2 linked regions of the Drosophila melanogaster genome follow. The protein of the gene in region 1 interacts with the protein of each later gene in a pairwise test. Each region holds a gene or a part of one and is shown on either strand. Other genes may lie near its edges.

Region 1 (4,484 bases):
ATCTCATCCTCGTTGTAGGGATACTCGGGAATGGTCCAATTTAGACAGAGGACACCTGAGATTAAATGGTGCAATTGCTATACGATATAAGTGGCTAATCCTACCTGACGACAAGGCAAAGCCCAATGTTCCCCCTGCTGCCAGGATACCGGAGACAAGGATAAGGTTATAGCGGCTGTTCTTGGCTGACCAGGCTTTCATAAAGTCGCCTTCCGGCTTTGGGCAATCACTGAGCACCGCGTGCTGACCACCGCTGGCAAAGTAGCCCGGCTTCCGCTTCATATTCTTGTCGCCTCCAGGACATTTGGGTGGCGGCTTGGTGGACGGGGGTGGCGGTGGAGTGGCCTTGACCGCCTTAGCTGACCCAGGAGGCGTGGCCTTAGCGGCCATTCGCTGAGAAACCGTATTATGAATCAACATCTGGCCAAAGCGCACTGGGGATTCAGGAAGGTTTTATTCTACTTTGAAGCGAAAAACTTCTGGACATAATTCTTTCACTCACATCCCCTCTGGAGACGCTCTTTGGTAGCTATCAAAAATCGGGACATGGTACTTGCTCTTCACTTCCCTTCTCTGTGGGAAGAGACCTTTGATTTTCTTAGCCAAGTGTTTGCCTAGCAAAATATAAAATTTTTTTCGCGTCACAAACTTAAAAATCTCAATTTGATGTCAATATCAAATGTTTCTGAATTGAACCACTTTTCTACGAGTGTGTTTCATAGATTCGTAAAAAATACGATTCTACATCTGCATAAGAAATTGTACGGTCTCTCGGGTGGCACAATTATATAGAAGACCATCCATGGAGGAAATTTAGAATATTTCCCAGGTATTGCCAGATCTCCAAATCAGTTAACCCGAGTTCCCGAAAAAATGAGTAAATGCAGTGAACCAGTTTTCAGCAGACTGCACTTGGTTGGTGGTGATAACAAGCCAGATACACAAGCGTACAACTAGAAAATCGTGTACGATAATTTACACAACGGTTTTCGTGTAAGACACAAAAGCTCGGTCGATAAGAACAAGATACATAACCCCGGTGTAGACTAGACTACGGTATAGAGGTGAAAGGGGGGGGAATAGCCAGAACTGGGAACCCACACCCCATTCCCATTAGCATGTTTCGGAAAGAGAATTTCACGGAAATTTATGATGCCCAAAAGAGAACACACCTCGGTGAAGGTGTCACGTGCGCTGTCAAAAATCGGTTGGTCCGAGACGAATGCATAATGCGGAGTGGACAACAGTCAGCCAGACTTGAAATCGAAAAGTGGCTTGGCGATAAAGAAGTTAAGGCTAATCGCAGAATGCGGTCAACAAACTGGTTCTTTCGATCTTTCGAACCAACAAGTGGGTGGACGTCGCTGAGTGGGTGAAATGCAATTGGAACCATGAAAATAAATTGTTTATTCAATAACCAATCATACAAATCAACGACGGAATCGCAAGTGACCGGGACCCCGCTTGTAGAGTCGCTTCCTTCTCTTGTTATCCCGACGAATGGCCACTATCGCAATGAAGACGAATCCCAGATAGAAAACGGCGGCTACAAAGCACCGTGTGGACACGTCCTGGTAGGCCTCGTCCGCCTGCTCCTTGAAGGCCTCCTGACTGGGGAAGTGGTGGGGCAAGGGCAGGGACTCCAGGAGCATCAGTGACTGGACGTAGAAGAAGATACCCAGCAGATTCAGCATCAAGAAGCCCCAGGCGCTCATGAACAGGCAGAACAGACAGCACTTGCGACCACAAAACATTTTCAAGCTCGATTCAATTCTATGCGAACTTTGTGCGACAGTGTAGTCGAGTGTTGCTCTGACCGCAACAGGTGCCAAGTTTAAGCCGACTTCGAAAGCGAAACCGAATCCGAAATCGAAATCGGAATGTATTGGACCACATACTATTCATCCATCTATCTACATACGCTCGTACACAAGTACAACCTTGTGCGATTTCAGCGGCATTAGATCAGAGTGGTCGGAATATGGAGTTCACGTACCCGTGCCTCTCGCTTTCGGCGGCGTTGCGATTGGGTTTGTTCAACTCGAAATGGCTTAGATTCGGATTTGATCTTAGCCAATGATGGACAACTGACAGATATATCATTTGCACACATACATATGAGTATGATATAGAAGCAGCTCAACTTATTAACACTTGAAAAGCACGTCAAAAAAACGATGTATACAATATACTTCAGAACATCAAGCTTATGCAGAACGAAGACCTGCAATATATTTGATATTTCAAATCAGTGGCTGCATTTAGTTCTGCGTATTTATATATCAGAAGTGATTTTTAGAGAACTGAATGTAGGCCATGCCAACCAAGTAGCTGATTCATTAAAGGGCAGCCTCTGATTTGAATTCCCCTTGTGAATCATGCTCAAGAAATTGCAATAAAAATAGCCAACTAAATAAGTTTAAGCAATAATTAGCACAACTTACCGTGAGTGGTTGATGTTCTCGATAAATCCGCAGAGCAACAAAATTTTTGCCACACTTGCAAAGAAGAAGCAGCAGAAGAATTCACAATAAAGTTTTTACTAGTTTCTTGAAACTCCGTTACAAAACATCAAGTTGTTGTGAAAATTCGTAAGTCGTTTTCGCGGTTGCTAAACCTTTTTTACACTCTGTTGTTTTACTAACGTTTCCTTTATTATGTTTGTTTATGCGAATTGTCGTTAGTTTTATGGGTTACTAGACACGATTAGAGAGAAATCAAAAATTAGGAAAATTAAACAGAATTGATAAAATATTTTTTACTTATTGCACCACGTGTTGCAACTTGAGACATAATAGGTGTCAGCTCTAATTGAGTAAATATGTTTTGCTGGTAACTTAAGCTGCGGATTTCGTACAGCCACAGAAAATGGGGGTCAAGTCCATTAGGTTAAAACCCGATCCCCAAGCGAAAGACCTTGACATTAGGGCGGTTGCTCACTGAACTTGGTAATATCTTAAGTGTCTCGAATTCCCTTTGCGCAAATCAATCAACTTGTCTTATGAGAGCACGAAGAAAAATGAAAATAAGATCACTACATTTTTATTTAAATGATATTTCATAGCTTATTGATATATTTCTAATGAGTATTAACCTAAAGTTTGATCTTATATTTCAAGAGACGGATGTCAAAATATTATTCTTCGCTGATTATTTTCTCAGTGTGGGATTTCAGTTACAGTTATATGGTTGTTATTTGCCTTATTTGCTTAGCACATTCTTCTTTACAATCACACAGACACTTGCTTTGATTTGTGTATTCGTTTTTGTTGTAAGCGCAATTATCAGTACAAACATTTATAATAAAAAAAATTGCAATTTCAACAAAAAAAAGTGTTTAGCTTTCAGTTTAACTTTTAGCTTGAATTTGTTAATGTCTTCACTGAATTTTATTTGTGCTTTATGAAAATATAATGTACACACTGATAAGAGAATAATTCATTTTATGCTATAATAATTCACTTTATATATTTATTGTTTCTCTCACGTTTGTGATTCGCTTTGGGCATTTGTTGTTAAATCGGTTTGTTTCGCACTTTGGGACACTTCTCGATATTTAAACATAACATGTTTTTACGAATTCGCTTCTCGAAAACCGGTATGCAAATCCAAAAATCACCGCAATATATTCAAAACTATTTAATTGTATTTATCGAATTCTTCGTGCACCTTCACTTCGAGTTCTCGACTCCGATGCGACCGCCGCGCTACGAAAACAAAGATTGAACACGAGTTGCCTTGCGATGTGGCTTAAATAGTTTGCCTCTCTCGCTCGCGTCGCTCAACGAGAGATGAGAACGAGTCTCTCCAAAACACAAATTTTAAGAGAAGAGCACCAAAGCATAAAATCTGAAAAGAGAAAGGTAAAATTTTAAGCTCTTGTTATACCTCTTTCTTTCACTAATTGCATTTTTATTTTTAACTTATTTATAATTAGAATTAACATATAATTAATAATATATTAATAATTATTATTATAATTTATTGTTTAATATAATTGTAATGATTATAATTATAAACAATAAGTAAGAACTTAAATTTTTTTTTCTTTTTTTCATCCTTCATCAGATAAAGTAACTTTTTTTTAATTTTCTTAGTTATTACCATTCTCTTTAAATATTATTTCTCGTTCTACGATAATTATTTCAATTATGATTTAAATTGCATGCATTATGAGTGCACTTAGTAATCAAGTAGTACAGTAAGTAAATGCACTGACCAAGTGCCTTAATCGAGTCAGTCACTCAATTTGCTTCGCTTAATGTCATAGGTAAAGGTAAGCGGGCATGTGAAGGACAACTACTACCCACTGGCGCACCACCCACTGGAAAACCACCCACTTGAAAAACGCCCACCCATTGTTTCGGGTGGATACTTCTGAATGCAGTCCGTTTGGCATTCAAATTTAGTGCAAAAGGGCAAAGTGTTTTCACTCTTATCTTTCAATGTCAGTAGAAAAACTTTACAATGTACATACGGCAGCA
Region 2 (6,627 bases), on another chromosome or scaffold:
AATAAAAATAACAATAATATTTCTCTACGTGTACAATTCGTTTAAATTTTGAAATGAAACACGCGTATGTCACAATCATACAAAATTGAAATAATAAAGAGTTTAATATATATCGTGCTGTTTCTTTTCGGTTTATGAATCAATTAATACGGGTATGGGTGGCGGGCAAACGAGTGCTGAAATACTGAATGAAATGCTGAACTCGTGCGCCCCTCCGTCTGGTTAAGTGTTTGTTCGTGTTCTAGAGCTCTTGTCGGCAAAGTTGAGAGCAGGTTGGATGGTTGGATCGATAAATTCACTCGAATCGCTGGGGTCTCTATTAATTAGTGCGAGCCCAGAACTTTTTGGACCAACCTCTGGAGCTGCAGATGTGGAGATCAGCGTGGGTATGTTAGAATCGCCTTCAATCCCCCAATTGAACTGCCCCCAGTGAAAAAGTCAAGATAATTAATTCTTTTAAGACACATAATCTTTTATTTGAATAGTTTCTTGCTCTTTTTGTGGTTTGGTATGGTTTGGTTGTGTTTTCGTTTTCGAATTTATTAGCAGCTTGGCTGGAATATACCGGATTTGACTTGCATCAACCACCAATAGTTGCTTTTCTTTTCGGATTAAAAGCTAATTTGTCACATTGAACTTGGTTTGGTTTTACATTTGCTTTTTGCGCTTACATCGAATGGTTTAGCGAATGACAGTTGAATAAATTTGAAAAAATATCACTATTTAGTAAAGTATGTATACACACATAAGCTTGTATATATTATAACTATTAATACATGTTTTAAGTTATTTTTAATGCATTTCGAAATTACATTCTTGGTTGCCCCCTTGCTCAACATCACAATAATTGGTTTTGAAATATTTCCTTTGTCCGACACACATGCATGAATATTTATAGATATTTCCTATGCACACACTCTTTATAAAATATAAACTTTAGAAATATAAATTCGAGGTTTTTTTGTGTTGTGTGAGTGTGTGTTGCTTTTGTTGCCTTTTTGTGCAGCCAAGGGAAATCAAAGCAGGAGAACTTAAGGTATAAAGCTTTCTGGCCTGCAGCATAGTAAAGCAAATGATACAAATGCCAGGGGCAATCGAACATTTTCCATGCATTATGCATGGGCCGTGCCGATGGCTCCGACCTTTGACCTATTGCCGCCATCCATCTCGCACTTCAAATTATAACTAATGAGGTATTTAGCTGCACGCAATGCCCGCGGTGTTCTAAAAAGCAAATTGACTTAATGGCCCAATAGCCGTTGGCTAACCAAAGGCTAACTAACTGCTGACTGACATTCTGGCCAACTGGAAAACCAACTGTGCACTGGCCAAAATGCATTTTCAATATGAAAATGCCGCCTGCAACAGACGCTCCAGTTGGGCAGGTGAAAAAGCACTGCTCGGCACTAGGTGCTCGGTGTAAGACTACTCGGCTCTACAACTTAAACTCTAGAATACACATATGCTTTGCACATTGACTTAATTAACTTATGAATCGAATGTATGCGTCTCTTCTTGTTTAGCCAGAATGTTTTTGGAGTTAAAGCTTTGCGGCGTGGATGTCTAATAAATATTTACAATTGTTTCAATAAATAATAAACTAGTTGGGGAAGTTCGAATAAGCTGTGCTGTCTTTGCTATTTTCCTGTGATTTCATCTGAGTAAAAACATTAAATGTTCATATGCAAGTTGCTTAGGTACATTGATTACGATCTCAACTTGGCTTGGCTTGGTTCCACTTTTCAGTTTGATATCCACCCTAAGATTATAACTCCCATCACTCTCAATCTTTGTTAATTTGACTTGTACACAGTTTTCTATTTTTTAAAAGGTACTTTGTTTTGTTTTTTGTTTTTTTCTTTTCTTTTTTTGTTAATTTAAAGCATCTCAAACTTTCTAGTTTGACTTTCTTTGTGGTTTTGTTTTTTGGCATGAGAAGCTTCTAGGACAGCATGATCTGGTCTTAAAACTCAAATTCAAACAGTTGTCTTTGTTAATTGCTAGACTTACAAATTACGAATACTGTTCTTAGAATTCTTCAGCAAGCAAGTTTAGTGTTTGTTTACCTTCCTATATGTATAGTTATCATAACCCCCCGTTTAGACCTCAGTGGGCAAACTCTGGCTCTGGCAGCCCGCCTGCAGTTTCTTGGAGCTGCGGAAGAACATGTCGAAGAGCCTGGCGCGCCGATTCTGGAACTTTTGGGGCATGGTTGGTGTTATAGCTATGTGCTCAACGATGGTGATGCCCCTCTGCAGCTTGGGGCGCTGCGGTCGTGTGGGCGGTGGAGCAACTGCCACAGTAGGTGGTGGTGTTGCCGGTGGCTGCTCATCGGAGTCCGCTGAGCCCCTGGCGCCACCGAAATTGATGATGGTGCTGCAGCTGCTGTTGGGCCTTAACGTCAAGGTCGTATGCACCGGCACTTGACTGACCAGGGAACTCTGGGGGGTGAGATACTTGCAGCTGTTGCTGCTGTACTGCGACAACTTGCTGCTGTTGCGCTGCAATTGTGCACCACTTGCAGCAGGACCTGCGGTGCCATTGGTCTTTACACTGCTGCTGCAGTTGCGCTGCAGGCCCGACGACGAATCCAGACCAAACAGCCGCTTGACTCCTCGCCTCACCCTCTTGTTCCTGTAGGCGAAGATGAATGGCGAACTGAGATTGGCCAGCAGGATCATGAAGATGGCCAGCTGGGAGGATCCGCCAAAGTTAGCAGCCGACAGTCGCGATTGCAGGAGTACCAGCAGTCCGAAGGGCAGGTACGAGACCACAAACATCACCACCACCAGGATGCTGATGCGGGCTGCTCTCGACTCCTCACGGTATTTGAATAGCGAACTGGCGTTGCTCAAACGGTGTCGCAAGGAGCTCATGTAACTCAGAGCCTTGGGGGAGGCATGAATGGCGGGTATCTGGAGGGCGTGGCCGTGTTGCTGGTGGCGCGGCGAACTGAAGTGCGGATGATGTTGCTGGTGGTGATGATGCTGTTGCTGCTGATGTTGCAGGTGCAATTGCTGCTGCTGCTGCCGCTGGGCGTGACCCAAAAGATGCGGAGAACCACACTCCTCACTGAGCGAGTCCTGGCGCAGTTCCGTGTACTTGTGGAGATTGGGCGAACTGTGCACCTGGCGTATGCCCTGCAGACGATTAGTCTCCCTCAGATCCTGCGAAGAAGTGCCCAACAGGGGCAGCTGTCTGGCGGAGTAGTTCCTCTTTATTTCACCACTGGCTGTTTGCAGAGTAAGCATAATGTTCTGATTTCTATCTGACAGTGAGTGCTCCTGTACGGGCATCAGTTGAACTCCGGCTCCACTTTCCGCATCTGAGCCACCATCATCCGAGATGGTGGGCAAAAGTACTTTCGCGGCCGAGTCCCGACGGAGACAACTGGGCGAACTCCTCGGCTGTTGGCGCTGATCAATTTGCATTTGCAGACCGCCCAAGCCCAAGCTGCTGTTGCCGCCATGCGAACTGGCCGAGGATATGGAATGCCGATGAACACACAAGCTATTGGAGAACTGGTTGGCTTGAGCCGCCTGCTGGCCAGCCGTCAGATTCAAGGCGCTCTGCAGCAGCGGCGAAGAGCCATTCTGGCGCATGCGCAGCCCATTTCCGCGCGCCTCACTGAATATCCTCCAGTACATTCCGCACACGAAGCCGAAGGGCAGGAGGATGATCACGATGAAGTAGACACTGGCGTACACCACTCCGAAAATACTATTGGTGCTGCTGATGTTGAAGTACGTGACTGCCAGGCGGCGTTGTCTGCTGAACAGGGCGTCCGCCTCAAAGTCCAAAACTCGGAAGGCGGAAAGGGCTCCAAAGAGTATGCCCACCACCCAGGTGAGTGCTATGAAGATCCAGGTTTTCACGCCCGAAATGCGACTGTGGTAGCGCAGGGGATCCGTAACGGCACACCAGGTGTCCCCCACCACGAGCAGTACTGCCAGAGCTCCCAGCGCAGCAGTCATGTCTATGGACCAACATCTCAGTTGGACGGGCGGCAAAATGGGAGCCTCCGTGGGTAAGCTCTCAAAGGCCGAGAGATTCTCTTCGTGTGTCTCGGTTTCCGTGATGACAAAGCCACCATCTCCGCGCTCATCGATGGTCAACTCGCGACAGTAGGTGGCATTGCACTTGAAGAAGGTCTCCACCGTATCGCCGTTTTCGCTGATGTTCCTTCGCACCACCACGCCGTCCTGTTCCACCAGCTGGCCATTGCGACGAAGTATCACCTGATGGTTTCCCGGCTTCGAGAAGAACTCCAGGGTCTCGGCGTTGGAAGTGGATGCCTCCGCAGACTTTCCCGGCAGTCCCAGGAACAAAGTGGGGGCCAAGATGCAGCAACCAATGAGATTGATGGCCAGCAGGTTGATCGTAAAGCGATTGGCGGTGGTCCTCAAGCCAGGCGTTATCCAAAAGGCACACAGCGCCAGCAGGTTGATCAGGAACGAGACGAGCAGCAGGGCCAGGATCAGGAGGTCTATGGCCATTCTTTATGCTGTTTTTCGATTACCACACATCACTTTACAGTTTCACAGTCACTTATGGCCTTTTATTGAATTTGGCTTTTCGGTTTTGTTTTGGCTCTGCTTATGACACAAATTTCACTCGGTAGTATATCCGCTGTCTCTCGTCTCTTCACATTTGCAGCCAAATATTTTTGGTTTTTTGTTGAATACCCTTTTTTTTGTGTTCAGTATTGTATGCGGTTTGTTTCTTGCGAACGCTTGCTAATTTACGTGCGAGATTTGTAAAAAACAATTTCTTTTTTGCTCTCAAGCAGTTGCTTTTCCACTTGTGTTTATTATGATTTTTCGTGTCTTGTCAATTGTCTTGCGACCGTCTGACTCTTGACTCAATTTTGTTCGCCGTGTATTTATCACGCGCACCGATCGGACGAGCACGATCTTCACTCCGAAGCGTTCCAAGCACAACTGTCGTGAGCGTTCGCCCCAACGCCTCCAAATATACGCGACTGCTCCACAGGCGGGTGCGAGCGAAACGGAGAAACGCCAGCGCGAGAACGGCGAGCGAAATGAGCGATCCGGAGAGCCACGAGTGCTCGAGTGTTGCTGCAGTTGCTGTTGTTGCTGCCACTGCCGTGATTTGCGATTCCCACGCTCCGACTTTGAAATTATGTTGCTGCAAGTGGCCGCTGCACTGTTGCCAGCCGGTCTTTATCACTAGTGGTTGTTGTTGCTGCTGCTGTTGTTGCTGCTGTTGTCCTAGTTCAGTGCGGCAGCAACACAAATTGTATAATCTGTTTCTTTTTTGCAATGCCAATTGCCGCCGCTTCACTTTTGCTCTGTATTACATCACTGGCTCAATGTTATAGCTGCTGCTGGTGCTACTGCTGCTCGTGCTTTTCCATTTTCCAAGACACATTTTCTTCTGGCTTCTGCACAATTTCCAATGTGCAACACAACGGCGTTCGCGCACTATTTTCTTAACCATAAAAATTGCATTTTTATTAGGCCGACTGCTGCTGTGAAATGAACAACAACAACAGCTGATGAAATTCCCACCGTCGGGCGCCAGCTGCAAGAAAAGAGCGAGAGAGAGAGGAAAAATCCAAATTAGAGCGAGACGACGCTTGGGGAGATATGTCCGTAAGATAAGGCACGGTTTTATTATTGCTGTTTTGATTGTGAAATTAAAAGCAAATAGAAATAAACGCTGGACCAAGATGATACAGCAGATTTAATCCCCGGCTACCAAAACCCGCTCGACAATGACTCAGAAAACATAACAACTCAATTTCGCAAACTAAAAAATCGGCACGCTCCCTGAATGAACATATACAAATTGGTTATCGCAAGTTTTGCGATAAGAAATAAATCCAGTTTTTTTTTTCCACTGGGGAACTGTCCAGAAGTTCGTCATGGGTACTTATAGTCAATTACCTTAAATCGCATTGGAACCACACCCACTCAGCCCTACACGCCCGCTTCACATGAAGGCTCTTGATTATAGTTAACTGTCTTTTTATAACTACGCATTATCCCATGAAGTCGGTACACAGATCGGACGACGATCAGGCGCTTACAACATGACCGGAGAATCGACTCTAATGAGCTCATCGCAAATTCTACTCGGTTCCCAGTAGTCATAAAAAGTTTGGGGCATCGAGCCAAAAGTCAATGCCACAAGGAAAGTTTTTGGTTTTTTTTTTTTTTTTTTGTTTGAGATATTTTCTTGGAAAATATGCAATAAAATATGCCATGTTGAATGTGTATTTTAAATTCCACTATTATTTATCTATATTTCCATGAAAGTTCTCAATAATATCGTAAGGCGTATAGCGCACGATGACTTTATTTTTAGCAGTGCATTTCATTACCGTTACAGTTCTATGGAACACACCAGCCGAATATTTTTTCTGTGAACACGCGACCGGAGACTGTGAAAAATCAACAGAAAAGCAATTTTCTTCTGGGCCATTTTTTTTTTTTGTGTCAGGTCTGAGCGGCGTTTGCATGCCCTACTTACGCCAGGAGATATATATTTATTAATAGCTGCGATGCCCGCAAACGAGTCGTGAAAATGCCAGAAGATGCGAAATGAATGATTGCCGATAAAGATGGCGCGTTTAATTGCTAATTTGCCCCAAGAATCGTCACG

The links.
Region 2: the proteins of CG11269 (region 1) and CG12290 interact in a two-hybrid assay, tested with the Drosophila melanogaster proteins (one large-scale study listed by BioGRID).

Annotation. Positions count from the first base shown.
Region 1 is NT_033778.4:22,136,212-22,140,695, reverse strand, and holds CG11269 (uncharacterized protein), read right to left. Parts: upstream 1,802-4,484; 5' UTR 1,755-1,801; coding exon 1,431-1,754; 3' UTR 1,401-1,430; downstream 1-1,400. Other genes in the region: gom (gomdanji), read right to left, coding at 1-55, 105-434, 503-548.
Region 2 is NT_033777.3:26,228,574-26,235,200, reverse strand, and holds CG12290 (uncharacterized protein), read right to left. Parts: upstream 4,954-6,627; 5' UTR 4,497-4,953; coding exon 2,100-4,496; 3' UTR 501-2,099; downstream 1-500.